Linked DNA regions of Pelodiscus sinensis. The protein of the gene in region 1 interacts with the protein of each later gene in a pairwise test. Links are inferred from orthologs where the notes say so. Each region holds a gene or a part of one and is shown on either strand. Other genes may lie near its edges.

Evidence for each region.
Region 2: the proteins of CEP44 (region 1) and POP5 interact in binary tests that used the Homo sapiens proteins (3 or more experiments, as listed by UniProt). The two-hybrid records come from large-scale screens. The link is inferred for Pelodiscus sinensis from reciprocal best matches to the Homo sapiens genes CEP44 and POP5.
Region 3: the proteins of CEP44 (region 1) and ABI3 interact in binary tests that used the Homo sapiens proteins (3 or more experiments, as listed by UniProt). The two-hybrid records come from large-scale screens. The link is inferred for Pelodiscus sinensis from reciprocal best matches to the Homo sapiens genes CEP44 and ABI3.

The regions. Positions count from the first base shown.
Region 1 is NC_134715.1:68,963,283-68,970,254, forward strand, and holds the start of CEP44 (centrosomal protein of 44 kDa), read left to right. Parts: upstream 1-3,954; 5' UTR 3,955-4,095; exon of another isoform or gene 4,096-4,207; intron 4,208-6,972. Other genes in the region: FBXO8 (F-box only protein 8), read right to left, coding at 634-721. UniProt on the Homo sapiens protein: Centriole-enriched microtubule-binding protein involved in centriole biogenesis. In collaboration with CEP295 and POC1B, is required for the centriole-to-centrosome conversion by ensuring the formation of bona fide centriole wall.
Region 2 is NC_134725.1:8,837,549-8,845,240, forward strand, and holds the start of POP5 (ribonuclease P/MRP protein subunit POP5), read left to right. Parts: upstream 1-4,687; 5' UTR 4,688-4,971; coding exon 4,972-4,991; intron 4,992-5,066; coding exon 5,067-5,209; intron 5,210-5,516; coding exon 5,517-5,666; intron 5,667-6,393; coding exon 6,394-6,477; intron 6,478-6,677; coding exon 6,678-6,784; 3' UTR 6,785-7,692. UniProt on the Homo sapiens protein: Component of ribonuclease P, a protein complex that generates mature tRNA molecules by cleaving their 5'-ends. Also a component of the MRP ribonuclease complex, which cleaves pre-rRNA sequences.
Region 3 is NC_134739.1:14,542,434-14,549,554, forward strand, and holds the start of ABI3 (ABI gene family member 3), read left to right. Parts: upstream 1-4,116; 5' UTR 4,117-4,463; coding exon 4,464-4,571; intron 4,572-6,045; exon of another isoform or gene 6,046-7,121. UniProt on the Homo sapiens protein: May inhibit tumor metastasis. In vitro, reduces cell motility.

The DNA.
Region 1 (6,972 bases):
TCCCACTGTGCTAGGCACTATACACGCATAGATCTTAGAAAACTGTTGAGTTTCCAGATCTGTGAGACTTCAGCCAGCCCCAGCTCTGTGTGTAACTCAAGCATTGGCAGCAAATAAACTTGAAAAACTGTAGCTGCAAATGTTAGAGGCTCTTCATATTCAGAACTTCTGATGTCTTTGTCAATGAACAGATTACAACGAGTCCGGTGGCACCTTAAAGACAAACAGATTTAATTGAGCAAAAGCTTTCGAAGGCAAAGACCATGCCCAAATATATATGTTAGTCTCTAAGGGCATGTCTACACTAGCAAATTATTTCAAACTTATTTCAAAATAATAACTTCCAAAATAACTATTTCAAAATAAGCATTATTCTTCATGGAGAGAAGGAGTTATTTCAAAATAACGGTCTTGGCAGTGTGGATGCTTCACTTGTTATAAGGGATATTGCAAAATAACTCCCTAGTGTACACCAGACCCATGGTGCCACAGGACTCTCGATTGTTTTTGCAGACACAGATTTACACAGCTACCCATCTGATTACTACACTAACAGATAAACAGTAATGTTAAACTTAAGTCTTAAGCCCATCGTACTCTAATAGGCTCTTGTAGAATCTAATATATCCCTACCAGTGTATATATCCAGTGACCCTGTCCTCTGAGAATATCTTCTGAACTGTAGTTCTTTGAAGCAGGGATGATCTTTGTTTTTGCACATTGTACAGTGCTGAGGATATTGCTGGAACTAAACAAATGATATAATAATTAGACAACAAGAGATCAACAATACTGAGACGTGAAAAAGGAGAAAAAAAAGCGTATAGGACGGGGTAAGAGAGCTTCCCCAGGTTGGTCCGGCCCGCCAAGCAAGTTGATTCAGCCCACGGACACCTTGCCTCTCCCCTACTCCCAAGCCAATCATTGTGTGGGGATAGGGGAGCATGCAAAATCTCCTCCCCCACCAGGGGCATGTGGCACATAGAGTGAACCATCAGCTGAACAGGGGCAGGGGCAGGGAGTGAGAGACTTTGCACGCTACTATGCCCACAGGGGTAGGGGAGCGTGCAAAGTCTCTTCCCGTTGCCAGGGGTGCGGGTGCCTAGAAGGAACTGCCAGCTCTTCAGAACAACTGGCAGTTCTCTCTGGGGGCTGGTGGTGGAGGGGTGGCAGGGGCAGAGACTTCACTTGCTCCCCAACCGCCTGGCCAATCAGGGACTGTGGGTGGGGAAGCACAGAAGTGTCCTGGTGCCACCCCTTCCAGGGCAGCCCAGGGCCACTTCAAGAATTTATGAAGTGGCCCCCCTTCTAAAATTATTGTCCACCCACTGTATAGGAGAAGAATCCTCAGGGATCTAAAGGTGTGAGGAGAATCCCACAATGAAGATTGTTAACTCAAGTATCAGAGGGGTAGCCGTGTTAGTCTGAATCTGCAAAAGCGGCGAGGAGTCCTGTGGCACCTTATAGACTAACTGCAGTGTAGGAGCATAAGCTTTCGTGGGCAAAGACCCACTTCGTCAGATGCATGCATGCATGCGTGCATCTGACGAAGTGGGTCTTTGCCCACGAAAGCATATGCTCCTACACTGCAGTTAATCTATAAGGTGCCACCGGACTCCTCGCCGCTAACTCAAGCGGTCACTTTTTCTAGTATTACAAGACATTGAAAGATGATTATTTTTTCAAGTCAGAGTATTCCAGAGAGGTTTATAAGTGAGAAATAAAGAACAGCATCATCATCAGAAATAGGCTATGGAATGATCATGCCTGCTGAGTTATCAAGTGGACTTTACGCAGGCAAACACTCAAGGGATTTTTTTTTTTATTATAGCTTCTGATCTGCTGCAAGACAGATTGTCTATATGTAGTATTGGTGTTAATAACAATTGCAGGTGATTAAGGCCTTCCTGTTAAAGGCCTTCAAGTGAAACACAGAACAATCAAGTACATGGGGCTTTTATACACAAAAGCCAATCTTATGGTAAACACATAAATCAGATCACAATCACTTCTAATCAATTTCACTTTATGGAGTAAGTTTTCCTGATATTCAGAGATACGAACACAAGTAGTACAATAGCAGTTCTTATGCTTAGTTTTTTTATGTTAATTACCAAATGAGCAGATTTGATGGATGTGACAGATTGAGATACATTACATCTTATGGCTTTATCATAATCAGTGCATAGCTAGTTTAAAATGTATCTGTAACAGTTTAATAGATTATCTAGCATTTGTTAGAGCAGGTGTCTTATTTTTCTCCATCAAGTAATTATTTTCAGTTTTTCAGTAATCAAGATGAACACTTTAGAAACTATTACAATATGATTAGGAAAATCATTTCTTGGCCTAAAAACATCTGAGTAACTAAAAAGTAACTGGAAAAACTTAAACAATGAATAGTCTAGCAGCACCTTAAAGACTAATAAAACATGAGCTTTCATGGGCACACCACACTTCTTTAGATTAATTTGGGTAACTCGGCTACCCCCTGAAGCTTTTGAACATAACAAATAAATGTATTTTTATTGTAGTCCATTTAATTTTCTATTGGAAAGTTTCAGATTTCAATGTTGATGCCAAAAAAATTCATTTAGGCATCAATTTCCAAGACCTCAACATTGTACTCCCTACTCATTCAGGCTCTTTGATTGGTCTACTCTTGTGAGTAGGGATAACCACTAACATTTATTTATATATTCGCTACCCCATTTACCTGTTTCTGCACAGAGCTTAACACAACCAGGCCCCAATCCTGCACAGGACTTCTGTGTGCTATGTTATGGTAAATAACACTGTATTACAGTGCTGCTGTGTGTTGCAGACTACTAAAAGTCAACGCATAGTCTCACTGACAGCAATACTATATTGTGTGAAACTGCAGGTATATATACATCAATGTTACTGGCCTGCTCTCACATCTGTGACTGTTTTGGTTTAAGGCAAATGCCAGTTCCCTTGGAGAAATGTAAAATTCCACCCCTTGGTGAGCACAAAGCCCCATTACACTGTGCACCTTCTCTTACAATCAGAGGTATTCAAGCCATGAAGCATCATTACAATTATTACTGAACATGGATGCTAGATGCTCGAGGTGCATTAAGTAGGAAGTTTTTTAAACTACTATTAGAGTTACTTAAAAGATGCTTCAGTTTGCTCATGGCCGTGATAAGCGGAGCTGTCACTGTCTCCTCGGGGAATCCAAAACGTCAACAGCAGCCTCTTTTCCCTCCCGAGCCCCACTTCTAGGTCACACGTTACTCCCACACACGGTCCTCCAAGTAACTCGGAATCATGATCAGCCTGCTGTAGAGTCACCTTCCCCGCCCTCTTACTCGAATAAGCTCCCCCCGCTCGTGGACAACAAACACTAAACCCATCACCGCCCGCAGCGCCCCAAGGAGAAAAGGAAGTAAGTGGGTGGTGTTTGGGGGGCACCGAAAGGGCATCGGTGCTGCGCTGGGAGGCAGCGGGCAGGCGCAGGCACTAAACGCGCGGCGCGAATGAGGCAGGAGCCGGCCGGCCAGAGGCTCAGCAGCCCCAGAGCCGGCTCCGAGCCCCTGACTCTCTCACAGACCCGCTCGGGCAGGGAAAGTCCCGCCCCTGCGCCAGATTGGCCCTGTCAGACAACTCTGCCCTAGCGCCGATCTCTGATTGGCTGCGGCGCCCATCATTCCACACCGACCCCACGGACCCAGCTCGAGGGTCTCTCGTACCTCTCCCAAGCTCCGATTCCAACCGCCGCCGCGACGAGCCGAGTCGGTGCGTGAACCTCGCCGGCTGGGAACGAACTCAGGAAACCCCGCGTACTGGGGGGGAGGGAGGGGGGAGAGAAGAAGATAAAAACCCTCCTGCGGCGCCGCCGCCGCCCCCTTCTCGTTCCTTAGTTTTGATGTCGCTGTTGTTGGTGGAAGTGACGTCAGCACCCGAGACTTCCCGGAAGCGGAAGCTGTTGTCAGATTCGTGTTGGCAGATTCTGCACGAGCCGAACCTGGCTAATGGCCAAGCCTAAATGTTAGTGACCCTGCCCCGCCCGCGAGAGCCGCCCGGCAACGCGACCTCGCTGTAGGGCTGACCCAGAGTGCGCTCTGGCGGGTAGGCGGCGGAGAGCGAGCGATGAATCTGCCAATGCGGACGCGGTAGGAGGCGGTTCCCGCGGCTGGGCTTCAATTGCCGGTAAAATACAAACCGCCGCCAGGAGCCTCCGGTGGGTGCGGGGACGGCGCAGCCGCTGCGGGGGGAGGTTCCTTGAAAAAGCGGGCGGAGTGGCAAGAGGGGGCTTTCTCTGCGTGCCTGGTGCCACCTCCCGGCCCCGCCGCCCCGCGTCTGTTTCAGTCTTGGCCCCGCTCCCCAGAGCTGGGGCGCCGAAGTTTTCTGTACTTCGTCCCGGAGGCCGGGGCGGGCAGGGACCCTGCGTCCCTTCGCTTTGTTCTGCCGGGGCCCTTAAGTCTCCTTCCCCCGCAGAGCGGCGGGCTGGGCGCTGGATTCTCTGTAGGATTCTTGGCGAATTCCCGTGAGAAATGGTCCTGGGCGGGAGAGGGGCTGAGCCATAAGAATGGCCAGACTGGATCAAACCAAAGGTCCATCTAACCCGGCGGTTCCCAACCTTTTTCAGAGGGGGACCAATTTTGAGAAGTCAGCAAGACTCGGTGACCCAGGGCAATTCAGAAAAAGTGTGAATGGCTCCTTAACAGCCACCTGGGGAGACACCTGGCGACCCTTTTGAAGTGTAATGGCGACCCATAGGCTGGGAAACCCTGATCTAACCCAATTTCCTGTCTGCTGACATAGCAGTGGTCAATACCAGATGCCCTAGACTGGGAGGGAACACAACAGGTCATCATCAAGTGATCCCTCCTTTGTCATGCATTTCTAGACAAACAAAGGCTAGGGTCACCATTCCTACCCATCCTGGGTAATAGCCATTGATGAATCTAACCTCCATGAATCTAGCTAGCTCTCTTTTGAATCCTGTTAAAGTCCTAATCTTCACCACATCCTCTGACAAGGAGTTTCAGAGGTTGACTGTGTGCTGAGTGAAGAAAAACTTCCTTTGGTTTGTTTTAAACCTGCTGCCTATTATTTTCATTTGGTGACCCTTAGTTGTTATTTTAACGGAATAAGTATTTTCCTTATTCACTTTTTCCACACCAGTCATGATTTTATAGACTTCTATCATATTCCCCCTTAGTCTCCTTTTTTCTAAGCTGATAAATCCAAGTCTTTTTAATTTCTCTTTATAAGGGACCCATTCCAAACCCCAGTAATTTTTGTTGCCCTTTTGTGAAGCTTTTCCAATGCCAATATATCTTTTTCGAGATGAGGCGACCAGATCTGTGTGCAGTATTCAAGTTGTGGGCGTATCATGGTTTTGTATAGAGGCTACCCTTACTTCTGTAAACCTCAGAACTGGGAATCTGGAGAGTGGAGGCTGTTATTTTGGAGCCCGGTAAAGACAGCGCCACTCCAGTAAGCAGCACGGAGATAAGGATGACCTGGTAGGGTATTGCCACCCTTTTCCATTGCTGCTTGCAGGACACTGTCTTACAGGCTGGGCATTTGACTAACAGCTGCCACTCTCCAGCCACCCATATCTTAAGGCAGTGCAGAAGTTAGGGTAGGAATGTTGCACACTTCCCCTCCACCCTATAACCTCTTGAGCCCTCTGCAACTTCCTTTAGGGTCAGGATACTGATCTACCCATGAAATCTGTATAACAATGATCCCCAACTGCTGGTCTGTGGACTGGTGCTGGGCCACAAATCTCTGGCTACTGGGCTGTGGCGGCTCTGGGGCCGGCGCTGGGGTACACTGCCAAGTGCTTCCCCTCCCGCCGCAGCTGGTGGAAGAGACATTTTCTGCTCTGCCTCTCAGCCAATCAGCACCAGGCAGGGACAGTGTTTCCTCTGGGATACAGAAGAGCGGTTCGCTGCGCAGCAGGAGGGTCACACAAAGCCTAGCATAGCAGCCTTAGAACACCTGCAACCTGACAGCAGTGCTCAGCTGGTGGCTGGGATGCAGCGCAGGGCTAGTTGGGGAGGGAGGGTGCAGGGCAGGGCAGGCACTGGGTGCTCTGGGGGTAGGGCTAGCTCCAAGAGGCCAGGGACTGGCTTTGGAGGGGCTCTGCAGGTGGAGCTTGTACTGGGGAGCTCTTAGTGGGGAGTTCTAAGAGGTGAAGAGCTGACACTGGGGGGCACTGGGGCATCTGTGGTGGGGAACTGGCACTGGGCGGATTCAGGGGCAGGGCTAATAGTGGGGGAGGTCTATGGGGCAGGGCTGGCACTGGGGGACTCTGGGGATGGGGCTAATATTGGAGTCTGGCACTGGGGGAGTTCTGGGGGTTGGGTGCAGTGGGGCTCTTGAAAAAGGAGGCTGGCACTAAGGGACCTGGTGGTGGAGGGCTTTAAGATATGGGGGCTTGGCACTGAGGCATTTGGGATGGGGGCTGGCATTGGGGGGCTCTGAAGATGGGAGTCTGGCACTGGGGAGGATTGGGTGCAGGGGACTTGGGTCAGTGGCTGGCGCTGGGGAGTAGTGGAGGGTTCGGGGGGTTCTAGGGTTTAGAGCTGGCGGGGGATGGGGGAGGTAAGGGTACCTCTCGGAGCCACTGCAAACAGCCAGCTTCAGCTGCGCCAGCTGCCTGCTATGTTGCAACTGCCGGAGCTGAAGCCAGCTGTTTGTGGTGGCTCTGGGGGTTGGGGCTTTTGGCGCACCAGTAATATTTTATTTGTGCATTCATTATTTGCATACTGAATATGCAAATAAAATGTTACCGGTCTGCCAAAAGTTTGTGGATGGGTTTACTGGTCCACGGTATAAAAAAAGTTGGGAACCACTGCTATATAGTATAGGGCAAACTAGGGATGGCAAATAATTTTTGATAGAGGGCTACTCCAAAAATGTGGTAAGTGGTCAAAGACTGCAATCATTCATGACATTAATGGAGGAGGAATGAGGTCTGGGGTGGAGGTT
Region 2 (7,692 bases), on another chromosome or scaffold:
AAAAAGTACTAACAAAGTCAGTACAAACCAAAATTTCATATAGACAACTACTTGTTTATACTGCTTTATATACTATATACTGAAATATAAGTACAATATTTATATTTCAATTTATTTTATAATTATAAGGTAAGCATGAGAATGCAAGCACTATTTCAGTAATTCAGGAAACTCCCACCTTACGATGGCCCGAGTTCCAATCCCCTGTACTTAACGGCCATTTTTTTAAGTGCGGAAGGGGCTGAAATCCCCACCTTATGTCCTCAGCCTACTGTAAATGTGGGTTCGAGTTACGATGCCCCCAACTTGCGACACTATCCCAGGAACCGATCGAGTCGCAAGTCAGGGGCAGCCTGTAGTATGCTATGGCTCTTTTGAATTTTTATGTCTGATTTTGCAAGCAAGTACTTTTTAAGTGAGGGGAAAGGGTTGCACAAGACAAATCAGACTTCTGAAAGGATTCAGTAATCAGGAAGGGTTGAAAGCCATTGATCTGGGACAACTGCCTGTATATATCACAGGCCACTAAACATCACCCAGTCACTCCCACACTAAGCCTAACTACTAGAATTAGACCAAAGTATCTCAGCTCTCAAAAAACAAACTATTATGCACCACAGGCAGAGAACACAAGGGACTGAGATGCTGGAGCAGCTGGAAATGGAATTGGTTAGAGATGGAACCTAAAAATGGCGTGGAATTGTATGTAGTTAATGAATAAAAGATCCCCTTGCTCACTGCCCTAACTGGAGCCTCTTGTTGTTACTTTATGTTCTTGTTCTTACTCACTTAATTCAAAGGACAATAGGATTGCGGGAAGCATTACAGGCAGGACTCTGAGTTGGAACTCAGCAGCTCTGCAGGTGCAAACCAATTTAAATTGGGGAGCTGGCTTGGTTCCCTTCAATCAGGAATTGAAGATGGAGGGGAGTGGCGACACAGTTGGGATTCCCCCAATTCTGCACCCCTGTAGCAGCAAGAACAGATTCCACCAGCAGTAGAATAGAGGGGTTTTATTGCTTTTCTAGGATACAGTACAGCATAGACGTGATGTGATAAGAATCAGGGCCAGGATGTTTCAGACCCCTTGGGTTAGGGGCATAGGTGTGCACAGCACATTTCATTAGGGTGTGCACCCAAATCATTTTTTTTAAATGTACTCTTTGACCCCCATTCGCCACGCCTCTGGAGCTAATACTTTCAGGGCAATATGGACACATGACCAGAAATAAAAGGTTTCATGTGACATCCCCCCCAAGGACTTTTCCCACCATCCTCCTACCAATAGGGATAAGTTTGGCCCTCACCAAACCCCCCTCATGCAACTATCCCACGACTGCATTAACCCATTGGCTGAGTCTACATTGGAACCCTTTTCCGGAAAAGGGATGCTAATGAAACCAGTCGGAATTGCAAATGCCGCGGGGGATTTAAATATCCCCCGCAGCATTTGCATGAACATGGCTGCCGCTTTTTTCCGGCTCGGGGCTTTGCTGGAGAAAAGCGCCAGTCTAGACGGGATCTTGCGGAAAATAAGCCCTTTTCCGGAAGATCCCTTATTCCTACTTGAAAGCCTTGCTCCACCCCTGCCTTCCTCATGCCCACCCCTTCTTTCAAGTCTTCTCCCAGCACCTCCCTTTCTCCCCTCTAGCCCCCAAAGCCCTTCCTCTCTCCTCTCCTAGCATCATCCTGTCCCCCGCTCTCATTGACACTTCCCCTCCTGCCCTTTTCCTCATTGTCTGCACTTGGCCCCCTGGCATTTGTGTCTCACCTCCACCCTGTCCCTTGGTGCCATCTCCTTTCTTCTCCTGACCTGTCCCCCTCCCCTCAGCACAAGCCCCTTCCTCTCTGACCCTTTCCCCCTATTTTTCCCTGCCAGATGGTCTGTAACAGAGTTCTAGGGTCGCCCTGACTATCACCCTTCTGGTGCTCCCCCTACTCTGTCTTTCTTAGGTTTCTCAGCCTCCTTTTGGGCCACAAACTCCCACCCCACAGTCTCTGGTTCCCAAAGTTCCAGCAGTCTCCCCATCACTTAGTGCCTGCACCGGGTCTGACTCGTAGGATTGCCAGGACAGTCTGGTTTTTGGGCCCTCTGTCCGGTAAAAAAAATCCAGAAAATACCCGACACATGCAATGTCTGGTATTTCCTGGTTTTCCGGCTGAGCGCTAGACTGAAGCCTGGCGGCAGCGGGGGAAATGACTGAAAGGTGGGGCGCAATCGGCACTGGGAGCCTCTAGTTGAGTCTGACTTCTTGGGGAGGAGAAGAAGCTCTATCTCTGAGCATGTTGTGGAGCTGCAGCTGGTAGGATTACCAGGTAGACCACCCCCCAAAAAACCGGACACACTTAATCATGGACCGGGGGGAGGATGGCCAGGAGAAAGGGGTTTGGTGGGAAGCAGAGCTGGTCGGGAGGCCAGGGGCCGCAGGGCTGGCCGAGAGGAAGGGGGGCCAGGGGAAGGAGGTGCAGGAAGCAGAGCTGGGGGGAAGTGTTGAGGAACGCCAGGTTGGCTGGGAGGAAGAGGGGGGATGGGAAGCAGTTCTTGGAGTGCGGGGGCCAGCCACACTGCCCCCGACCTCAGCCCCACTCCTCCCCGGACCAGCCGCGCTACCCCCGACTTCGGACCCCCCCCTCCCTGGGCCAGCTGCGCTGCCCCTGGGTTCCCCCGACCCAGCTGTGCTGCCTCCGGGTCCGCCCCCGACCCCAGCCACGCTGCCCTCGACCCCGGCCCCCCTCCCTGGACCAGCTGTGCTGCCCCCGACCTCCCCACTCTGGGTCAACTGTGATGCCCCCGGACCAGCCGTGCTGCCCCCCGATTCCCCCGACCCTGGGCCCAGCCGCACTACTCCTGACCCGAACCCCCCCAGCAGCTGCACTGCTCCCGATCCCCTGCCCAGAGCACGCCCCCACCTGCCCGGGGTTTAAACTTACCTCTCTTGCCTAGGACGCGGGGTGAAGATGCTGCTCCCTGCCACCTGTTTCTGTGAGGTCCTAAGACCCGCTGGTTTTGGCTGCGCATGCGTGGCAAACCCTGCGCAGCGTCCGTTCCCCAGCGCACCAGGGCGGCCCTTTGAAACATTTGGGTGTGCCTGGGCACACCCGGCACACCCCGTGTACACACCTATGGTTAGGGGTCTATCACCCCTAGCCCTCAGCCCCAGTAACCTTAGTCTCTCTCCCTCATGGTTCCAGCCTAAGACTGACCTTTCCCCCAGGGCACACTTCCTTTGTCCTGTCTCTTTCCTTAAAAAGTAGAACCGGTTTGGCCACTGTCCTGAGGCCCCTCTTGCTGGGCTGTGCTTACAGACAATCGCCAGCGGGGATCCTCCACAGCCCACCGCCCAAACATTGCAACCAGCAAGGTACTGACACTACATCACAAAATGTGGGGGAGTCAGTGGGAATCACACATCACCACACAGGGGGACCCCGGGATACAGAGCCAACATCCTCCCCACTATGCCACAAGGGGTCATGGAAATGTGGCAGGGGCAGATGAGGACAGAGGAGCTCGGGGAGGGGGCCAGGGGAAGATAAGAACAGAGGGGCCGAGGGAACGGAGGAGGCGGGGCAGATGAGGACGGAGGGACCAAGGGGGTCCAGGGCAGATGAGGATAAAAGAGCCGAGGGGGGGGCGGGGCAGATGAGGACAAGTGGGCTGGGGGGGGCAGGGCAAATGAGGACGGAGGGGGCAAGGGGGTCCAGGCCAGATGAGGACAAGAGGGCTGGGGGGGCGGGGCAGATGAGGACAAGGGAGCTGAGGGGGGGTCCAGGGCAGATGAGGACAAGGGGTCTGGGGGGGCAGGGCAGATGAGGACAAGGGGTTTGAGGGGAGGTCCAGGGCAGATGAGGACAAGGAGGCTGAGGGGGGGCGGGGCAGATGAGGACAAGGGAGCTGGAGGGGGCGGGGCAGATGAGGACGGAGGGGCCAAGGGGGTCCAGGGCAGATGAGGACAAGGGAGCTGAGAGGGGGCGGGGCAGATGAGGACAATGGAGCTGAGAGGGGGCGGGGCAGATGAGGACAAGGGGGCTGAGGGGGTCCAGGGCAGATGAAGACAAGGAGGCTGAAAGGGGGGCAGATGAGGACAAGGGAGCTGGGAGGGGGCAGATGAGGACGGAGGAGCTAAGGGGGTCCAGGGCAGATGAGGACAAGGGAGCTGGGGGGCAGACAAGGGAGTTGAGGGGGGCAGACGAGGACAAGGGGGGGCAGGCGAGGGGACTAAGGGGGCAGACGAGGGGGCTGAGGGGGGGCAGGCGAGGGGGCTGAGGGGGGCAGACGAGGACAAGGGGGGGCAGGCGAGGGGACTAAGGGGGCAGGCGAGGGGGCTGAGGGGGGGCAGGCGAGGACAAGGGGGGCAGGCGAGGGGGCTGAGGGGGGGCAGGCGAGGACAAGGGAGCTGGGGGGGCAGATGAGGGCGGGGCGGGGCCGCCTCTCACAATTGCGGTCGGGGGGGGGGGTAAGTCTGCCCGGCGCGAGAGGGGAGGCGCTGCCCGGCCGGAGGCTGCGACCGGCCCCTCGGGCCAGCGGCGGGGCGGGGCGGGGCGAGGCCGAGGCCGGCGCTCGAGAGCCGCTAGCTGCCGGCGGGGGCCGACGCTGGGGGCGCCCGCGTGTGGCCCCGCCCCGGCCCGGCTGGCGCAGGCGGCGCGAGCGGGAGGCCTGGGCGCTGCGCGAGGCTCTGCTGCCCCCGCGCGGGCTGGCGCCGGCCGCAGCGGAGGGCGGGGGCGGGGCTCTGCGCCACCAGGCAGCAGCAGCAAGGAGGAGCCCGCGCGCTCGCGCCCCCTACCCCGCCAGCGCCGCGGCCCAGCACGCAAAAGCGCACGTGAGCCGCCGCGCCATCGCGGTGTTTCTCGTCCCTCCCCCCGCGGCGGCGTGCTGATTGGCTGCGGGGGCCAGCGGCGACGCTCCCATTGGCTGAAGCGTGCGGCGGACTCCGTGTCCCGCGCGCCAGTGCGCGCGCAGCCGAGGCGGCGATGGTGCGGTTCAAGCACAGGTGAGGCAGCGCTCCCTGCTCCGCGCGGCCCCGCCCCCTCCCGTCGCGCGCTAACGCGGCTGCCTCGCCTTGCAGGTACCTGCTGTGTGAGCTGGTGTCCGAGGAGCCGCGCTGCCGGCCGTGCATGGACGAGCGGGCGGTGGGCGCGGCGGTGAAGGAGGCCATTGCCCGCGCCCACGGGGACTACGGGCTGGCGTGCTGCTCCATCTCCTTCACAGGTGCGCGCCCGCCCGACCCCCGGTCAGGCCAACGGGGGCGGGGGGGTCCTGGAGGCCAGTGGCTGCTAAGGAAGGAGGGCTCGGGAGGGACTCGCCTTGCCCCCTTGCAGTGGCTTGTTTCCTTTTAATGGTGTGGCTGCACGAATGTGGAACTAGAACATGAGCTTTTGCTTCCTCCCTAAAAGCGACTTGGAACTTCAGCAGTATAAGAGAGGAGGTTCTGTGAATAAACCAGCATTTCTGAATTACACTCTAATGTTAAGCAATTAAATGTCATTTGTACTAATCAGTTATTTTCTGTGCCCAGTGAAATACCTGAATGCCTACACAGGCATAGTTCTCTTGCGATGCCGAAAGGACTTTTATAGGCTCCTCTGGTCAGCTCTTCCCTTTGTCACTTACTTAGAGAACAGGAACCAGCGCTATTCCTGTTTTTTCAACACATTACATGTTGGAGGTAAGGTTTTCAAGAGTGTTTTTGGTAGCTTGTGACACTTCAATCTCAGAACTTTGAGATCTTGAGTGTCTTACTATTCTTGCAATGATTAGAAAGTAGTGAAGAGCCCTGTTGTTTAATGTTTCTAGTTGTGACAGAAGGTGCGCTCAGATTCTGCCTCACTGAGGCTAATACAAATTTCCCTTTAATGGCTTGAAATAGATAATCCAAAAGCTAAAACATTTTTTGTTGTGCTGAGGCCTCTATACCTCTGGTATTTTTTTCATTCTGCTGAATTGTTCACTACTCTGTTCATTATACTGTTTAAAAACAAAAGCCCACCTACTTTGCATGTGTGACTATTTTCCTAACCCCTATGAATTCAGTATTTACATCAAAGAGCTGGCCACCCCCATCAAACTTGGGTACCATCTGTCCTCAGGAAACTTTTGATTAAGTCTTAAATGAAGGAAAACGACACCTGGTATTGCTGCGGTTTGCAAGTTTGGGCAAATAAGTGTTAACAAATATCAAACGGTGGGAAGTAAGAGTTTTCCTTGCTGTTCAGCCTGGTTTCTGTAGTTTATGGTCTGTGATGTTCTTGTTTTTTGATCCATAACACTCCTACTTCCTGGTTGAACAGGGAGAATACATTATATCATTAAAATGTACTTTTGCTCTGCTCTGTAGTGTTTAATTTGCTTTAGTTCTCTATCATACAGACTTTGTTCCCTTGTTTCTTCAACAGGGACAATAAGAACATGTCAAAAATTTTTAGTTCAGTACAACAGGAAACAGCTCCTGCTACTATTGCATAATTGCACCAGTGAAGGTAAGCGGCTGCTCTATTCCTACCTTTCAAAAAGGACTTTGTTACACATGGACTTTTGGGGACTTGGGTGTTGTTGCAGCCTCTGGTTATTTGGTAGAGCTGGCTGTCTTATCACTGTAGCTATGTAACTCTGTTCTTCCCTCTGAAACCTATTGAATAATGAATTTTTTTCATACTATGCCTCCTCATCATTGTTACAGAGGAAAGACAGTCCATCCAGAAGTCTCTGCTAAGCTGTTCCCTTACAGAAGTGGAGGAGGAGCATTTTCACAGTGGAGATGAAGAAGACTGTGTAGAGACAGACTGAACATAAACTTTAAATCTAATGTGGTGCTTTCTGTAAGGCACTGGGAAAACTACCCTGTTAAAAGATGTCTTGGGCTGCCTGCCCTGTGCTAAGTAAATGAGAATCAAGGCATCTCTAACTGTATTTTGATCTTGTGAAAATAAAGGAAAGGGTAAAACGATTTCTGGTGAAATCACTGGGCAGCAGCCTTAAAATTCAGCTAATGCAGCACTTTTATTTAAGCAAAAGCCTGAATCTCTTCAAGCCAGGAGAGGGGAAATGGAAGGCTACCTTTCAACAAGTTGTCCCCTGGGACACAAATTCTATTAGTTAGAGCTTGCTTAGTTTTTAAAACAGGCCTAAAGACTGCTCTAGGTTAAGCTCCTCCTCCAACTATACCTATCTCTGGGAATCATTCCGGTATTAGATCAGGATTACTTTTTTACAGTAGCTGAGGTGAAACTGAGTTAGTATCCCATAGAGGTTATTTCTTTGAGGATTGTTATAGTGCCCTGCTTCTGAAGTCTGTGGCTAAACCTGTTTGACAGTTAGATGTCTTGAGTAGCTGCCCTGCTACCATCAAGAGACAATACTTATGTCTGGGTATTGATTAAAATGTGTTGGTAATGTATTCAAACTGCTGAGTAAATTGTACTGAAGGAAAGATGCACCATTGCTGCTTTGAGAATGAATCATCCTGAGAGTGGGTGTTTTGCTCTCCACTATTTATGGAAATTCAACCTTCATAAAGTTTAGGCTGCAAAACACCCAGGGCTAAAGCGCATAGCACATCCAGGTTAAAATAGTCATAGCTGTCAAGGGAGGATTGGAGGCATTGTTAAAGGAAAGTTCTATGCATATTTTTATTCAAATTGCCTCAAACTAATTCAGTTTCTCAAGTGGAAGAGCTGGTATAGACAAGCTTGAGA
Region 3 (7,121 bases), on another chromosome or scaffold:
CCCTGAGACAACCCGCCTCAACAGCCTCGTTGGCCATCTCCCCCCTCACACAACCCGCCTCGGCAGCCTCGTTCGCCGTCTCCCCCTCACACAACCCGCCTCGGCAGCCTCGTTCACCGTCTCCCCCTGAGACAACCCGCCTCAACAGCCTCGTTGGCCATCTCCCCCCTCACACAACCCGCCTCGGCAGCCTCGTTCACCGTCTCCCCCCCCCACAACCTGCCTCGGCAGCCTCGTTCGCCGTCTCCCCCCTCACACAACCCGCCTCGGCTGCCTCGTTTGCCGCCTCCCCCCCACATAACCCACCTCGGCAGCCTCGTTCGCCGTCTCCCCCCTCACACAACCCACCTCGGCTGCCTCGTTCGCCGTCTCCCCCCTCACACAACCCGCCTCGGCTGCCTCGTTCACCGTCTCCCCCCCACACAACCTGCCTCGGCAGCCTCGTTCGCCGTCTCCCCCCTCACACAACCCGCCTCGGCTGCCTCGTTCGCCGTCTCCCCCCCACATAACCCGCCTCGGCAGCCTCGTTCGCCGTCTCTGCAGAGCAAAGGGGAAAACCCAAAGGATGACAATGGCGGGGGAGGAGGGAAGGAACCGGGGCGTCTAGTGAAACACAGATTGGCTGGGAGTGAGGAGGGGGATGCAGCTGTGAACAATCCGAAGATCGTTGTGGGGCGTATTTACAGGCCCGGTGTACGTGAGACGTGGCGGGTAATTGCCCTGCTCTGGGGAGGCCTCCTTTGCTATTCCGTGGCCGGGTCTGGGCCTGGCGCCGTGGGGAGACCATGGACCGGTTGAGGAGAGTCCAGAGGGGAGCAACAAAAATGAGAAAATGTTTCGAAAACCTGACGTGGGTGGGACGGTTCCAACGCCTGGAGAGGTTTGGTCCTGGGGGGGACTTGACAACAGGCTTCAGCTCTGGCGAGGGCGAGGCTGTCGTCACAAGCCTGGTGCCCCGGGGCTCCCCCATCCCCTGGAATAGGGCTCACGCCGCAGCCGCAGGGCTGGGTTAGACGCAAGGAACATTTGCTGGCTCTCGGGGGAGGGAGCTCTGGAGCAGCATCCGGGGAATCCCCATGGGTGGAGGCTGGGGGAAGACGGTCAGGGCTGGGCTTTCGACTCTTGGAGGTCCTTGCTAGAACGACGTCTGATTGGAGCAGCCTAGGAGCATCTCTCAAGTGCAGATTGGCTACCCCCCCCCGGGCCATCGGCCAAATGGAGAAGGGCGGAGCTGGGGGAGCTGGCGGCGCAGGGGCAGATGAACCCGGCCTCTGTGTCTACTGGCAAGTGCTCGCATTGGGAGACTCTCCAGCTGGGCCGAGCTGCCCTTTGATCTGCCCAGAGGGGCTGGGATGGAAACCCCTCCCCCCCCGCTGCACATCGTACCGTGGACTGGACGATACCCAGGCTGGGGCTGCGTGTGGCTCCGCGGCGGGGCGGCTGCGGGGCAGCGTGAGGGCACTGCCAGCCCCTCCGTGAGCTCTGGCCGGCCGAGAGGAGTCCGTGGCCCAGTGTGAACTGTCCCGGCTCAGCGCGGGTTAGATCGGAGGGTTGGCCCGGGCCCGCCTCTGCTGGAAACCTGGGTCCCGCCAAGCAGGAGGAAGCCACGTCCTAGCGGATTTCGTCCCTAACTCCTGCGACAAAGCTCCCCCTCCACCTGGGGCCTGAGCTCTCGGGGGTTGACTTGCCTCCCTTCAGACACCGGCTCGCTGTTTGTGGAGACTCCCATCGCAGGCCAGCACGGGGAAGAGGGGAAACCAAACTTCCTCGTCTTTGCTGCCCCTCCCGGGAGTGCAGGGAGGACAAACCCTTGCACCCAGGGCCGGATTAAGGCATGAGCTAGCCAGGCAGCTGCCCCAGGTGCCAACCTATGGGGGGCGCTGGATGGCAGCTGTGAGGGGCGCTGTGCAGCCGGGCGCGTGGCACCCCTTAGAGCTGCCATCAGGCGCCACACAGCCGGCTCCCAGGGCAGGGGCTGCGTTAACCCCCACGGCGCCGGCCAGCAACGCCATTACCCGCATGGCTGTGGGGCCCTGCACGGCCAGGCTCGTCCCGCCCCAGGCGGCCCCGGGCTGCGCACCAGCAGCAGTAGCCAGGCTGGGCCGGGCCGGGCACGTGCATCCTGCCGCCGCCAGCTCCACGTGCCCTCCCCCTCGTGCTGGGCGGGGGCGGGACCATGCATGCACCCTCCCCCGCACACCAGCACGGGGGCGAGGCCGCGCATGCACCCTCCCCCAACCCAGGGCACAATTGAACTATCTGCCCGGGGCGCCGGAATGGCTTGATCCAGCCCTGCGTGCACCCAAACCGGTTCTTCCTAGTCGTACAATGGGGAGCTGCTGGCGAGAACCGGGCCTGTCCTTTACCGCAGGCTCCGGCCCAGGGCCCCCGCAGCAGCCGCTGTCTGGAACGTCTCTGGTAACCGCTACAAATCCACAGGCCACTTCCCCACGGGCCACGCCCTTCCACCCTGGTACCCACCTGCGCTTTCTCCTCCCAGCCTCCCCCGCCCCTCACTCTCCTCAGCTCCCTCCTCGCAGCAGAGCAAGCAGAAGGAAAAAGCCCTTTTAAACCAGCCTCAGTCCGGCCCCTGTGAGTCTGGAAGCCTCCTGCTTGGTGCTAAGTGTTTTCATTGGCCTGATTGCGCTGACTGATTCTAGCAGGTTCCTGCTGGTTCTGGATCAGCCCTCGTTAGTCTAGGCTGGGAACAGAGACCTATTTAATCCGGGGCTAATAGATTTCCCCTCCACTGCTCCCCGGTAGCCCGACTCGGTCACACTCCCCACTCACCGCGTGCCGTGGGGCCGGGATTTGACCCTGTCGATGGCAGAGCCGCATTATGACTTTGGTGGGCCATAGGCACCTTTGCCTTCGTGGGCCCCCCCCCATAATAATATCAATTGTAAAAATGATTTTTGATATAACTTTAAATACTTCAACATTTTTTTTTCTGTTTTAGGCAAAATTGAATCGATTTTCGTGGGCCCTAAAAGTTTCATTTTTTTCTGATGTGAGAAAAATATTAAAACATTTTGACTATGTTCCCACTCGCGGCTTCTTGCGCAAGTAATATGCAAATGAGGCTAAGCGTGGAATATCGCCGAGCCTCATTTGCATACCTAATGAGCCACCATTTTTTCAGAAGAGGCTCTTGCGCAAGAAGCGTCTACACTGCCCCTCCTTGCGCAAGAAAAACCCTTTTGCGCAACGCCGTTCTTCCTGTCAAGTAATAGGTGTAACGGCGTTGCGCAAGGGGGCTATGTCTAGATTGCATCCCTCAGCACGGAGCTTTGCCGGAAAAAAGCGCCAGTCTAGACGCGGATCTTTCGGAAAATAAAGCCTTTTCTGAAAGCTCCCTTATCCCTTATTTTAAGAGGGCCTTTTGGAAAAGGCTTTATTTTCCGAAAGATCCGTGTCTAGACTGGCGCTATTTTCCAGCAAAGCTTCGTGCCGAAAAAAAGCGGCAGCCATTTTTATGCTAATGAAGCGGGGGAGATTTAAATCCCCGCTTCATTAGCAATTGCGATACGTCTAATTTGCATCCCTTTTACGAAAAGAGGGTGCAATCTAGACGCAGCCGAGGGTTTTTCTTGCGCAAGAGCCTCTTCTGAAAAAAATGGTGGCTCATTAGGTATGCAAATGAGGCTGGGCGATATTCCACGCTTAGCCTCATTTGCATATTACTCCCGCAAGAAGCCGCGATGCAGACGTAGCCTTTCTTCGACCCTAAAAGGTTTTTTTTCCTTCTGATTTTAAAAGAAATTAAAACATTTTCGTGGGCCCCTAAAAGTATCGCGGGGCCCAGGCACTGAGCCTACTGGATACGTCGGCCCTGGTCGCTGGGCTACCGGGGAGTCGCAGCTTCACCCCAAGCACAGCAGCCAGCTTCGGCTGTACACGTGGGCGCGGACACGCGTGGCCGCCCGGGAGCCCGTTGCGGGACAGTTTAGCTCCCTGGCCGCTGGGACTTTCTTGGAATGTTTCTGTTTCCAGCGCCCCTTGTTCTTCTGCCATGACTCACGTCCCCTCTCGCTGTGGCTTTCCTCGGCCGCCCCCAGCGCTTCCCCTGCGGCTGGCAAACCCCGCCCGGACGGCCCCTCTTCCCCCCACCCCTTCCCCCGGAGGATCACCGCAGGGTCTGACACCAGCTCCCCCCGGGCCAGCTGCGCCCCGCGCCCCACAGCGCGTGGGAGCCACGTTTCCTCTCCGGGCCGTTCCTAAGTTTCCCGAGTGCGCACGGGAAGGGGGGCGCACGGATCCCAGCGGGCGCTGAAAGCCGGGTCCCTCCGAAGCGGCCCCCGGGCTGGCGGGGCGAGTGGCCGGGGCAGGCTGGGGCCCCCCGGTGGCGCAGAGGGGCAGGTGCGCAGCGGGGTGGGACTGCGCGCCCCGCCCGCCAATGAGCGCAGCGCAGCGCCCGGGCTGCCTGGGGAGCCGCTGGCGCGCAGGAGGAAGCGGCGCGCAGCATGGCCGAGCGGCAGCAGCATGAAATCCCCGCGGCCAGGCAAGTCCTGCGGGACAACTACAGCAACCTGCACAGGCTGGCCGACTACTGCGAGAGCAACTACCTGCAGGTAGGCGGGGCCCGCGGCTGGGCCGGCCAGGTGCCGAGATCCCGGGCATCTCACACTTAGGGGCATGAAGGCTCCGCAAAGGGGCAGCTGGGCCGGCTCTGCCCAGTAGAAAGGGAAGGACAGAAAATGATCTTGCCTTTGGGGAGGCAGTACGGCCTAGTGGCTAGCGCCCCACACGCCGAACTTGGCTTTTGGCCCCGTCCACACAGCCCCCTGCACTGGGATCAGACTTGCACATCGCGCCTCTTATTTCGAAATAGGCAATTTTGAAATCTGGCCCGTCTCCACGGCGCCGAAGTTCGAAATAAGAGGCTCTGTCGCACCTTCCCTTATAGCGCCCGTTATTTCAAAAAATCTCCCAAAATAGCCGTGCAGTGTAGATGCAGCCTGCGAGAAATCGCTCCGTCCGTTGTGCCGCGGTGTCCGTCTGTCCTGCGTGCGCTGCCTGTAAGCTCAGAGGGCCGAGTAACCGTGTCTGACTGTGGCCGTGTTCTGGGGGGAGGTGCAGTCTTAACTCAGATCCGACCCTAAGGGGAACCTGATCTTCAACTTGACTTGCAAGTGTCCACCTGGCGCCTGCCTTCTCTTCCCTGGGCCCTGGCTCGCTCACGGGAAAGGCAGGTCTTTGCAGAGCGACGCCAAGCCCCGGGGCAGGTAGCTCCTGCATCCTCCTTACAGTCCAATGAGCTCCAAGTAGAGGGGGAACTAAAGCATAAGCAGATGAAGTGACGTGCCCAAGGCCACCGGGGTTGTGGGTGGCAGAATCCCGGTTGGACCTGGGATCTTGTGTCTCCACATGCGGTATCTATCCGCTAGCTCCCCCCAAAGCGCTGGGCTCTGTGCCAGTAAAGATCAGATCAACCCTAACAAGGTTTCCCCTCGTTCATTTCTAGCCCTCCGCACAGGGCGTTAACGGGGACGCCTGCCCAGTTCCTCAGGTACAAGTGGGGCGGGAGGCGGGGAGATAGGACACTTCCGTGGGGGGGGGGGTTGTTCCGCGTGGTGACATGTGTCAGGAAACGCAGAGGTCGGCGCTGAAAGTCTGCACCTGTGAAATAGCAGAACCTCCCAGGGGCACGAGCAGCAGCCTCGGCTCCCCGCTTGGTCCCCGCGAGAATGTTCCGAGCTAGTTCTGGGGTGAGCGGCTGTCTGGTGTGACTGCTTCCCGCCCAACCTGCGGCGTCATTCCCTGCTCTGAGCGCCCGGCGCTGGAAACCCACCGCCTCCCCTTGCCCGACGGGGTGGGAGCGCAGTCCCGCAACCGGATCTTATTTCCTTGGCCCGTGAGAGCTGAGAGCAGGGCTCCCTGCTGGTGGCTGCTCTACCGAAGAGGTTACAACCCAAATACACCAGGGGAGCAGGGTCCTGATTGTACAGGAGGGGGGCCGAGGTACAGAGATCCAGGTCCCAATTCTCAAAGGGATTTAGGAACCGCACTCCCTTTGATTCCCATGGACGTGAGGTGCCTAATTACCCTGGGAAGGTCTGGGCTCCACGCTCAGATGGCAGAAGCAGGAGTTGAATCCCAGTGCCCGGAGTCGAAGTCCAGCGTGCCTGCCCCCCCTCGTCCAAGAGGGCTCCAAAGAGCTGTCTGAACTCCAGAGGGGAGGGATGAAACTCCTCCCTCTGAGATGCAGCCACTTCTGGGGTGGAACACAGCCAGCCCTGCCCAGCCCGCCAGGGCACAAAGAAGAATCGCGCCGCGACCTGTTGGAATTTCCATGCCCAGCAAGACAGTGTTGGGAAAAGGGCCAGGACAGAAGCACATTTTGGATGCCCACATCTGGCCAGCAGCTTGGTTTTGCGCCCCCAGCCCGGGCTGAGCCAGCACTGTGACGGCGCAGCGCCCCTGCCAGACGGCTCGGCTGTGGGCCGGTTCCCAAGCGCGCATGAAGCTAACCCGCCCCTGCTTAGCTGGAGAAGGCACCTTGCAGGGCCTCAGTTCCTAAAGGAGATGAGGTTTTACAGCTGGATCCAAAGCCCATGCAAGTCAATGGCCAGTCCCCGCAGCGCCCTCCACATCATGCTGCAAAGGAGGCTCCGTTTCCTCCTGCCCCAATGCAGGGTTCTAGGGCCACATCTGTACGCACGGCTGGGTGGGGACCGGGGCGAAGGCATGGTCTGTTGGCAGAAGCCGCTCGCCCGCGGACGTAGCGCCGGGCCCACAAAGGTGGACTAGTCACCCCCCGAGTGCCACCCGTCGCGCCACCCGAGGCCGGAGTGTGGAGCCAGCCTAGGTGTGTTTCCCCCTCCCGAGGGACAACGCTCTGGCCTCCCTGCCTGCGACAACAGCCGGGCAAGGCGGGCGAGGCAGCACCTTCTCCGGCACCATAGAGGCGCGTTATCAAGCTGCACAGAGCTGGGAAGGGCAGTTTGGCTCCTGCTGCACCCGAGATTGGGTCCCGTGCAAGATTCCCCCTCCCACCCCACTCCCGCCTCTCTCTAATCTTCGGGGACCAGCCCCACGCCGCCGCTGGCCAACGGGGACTGATGGTCGCCTGTGTCCTCCCGCCCAGGGCAGGGCGGTGCCGTTTCAGGCAGACAGTGACA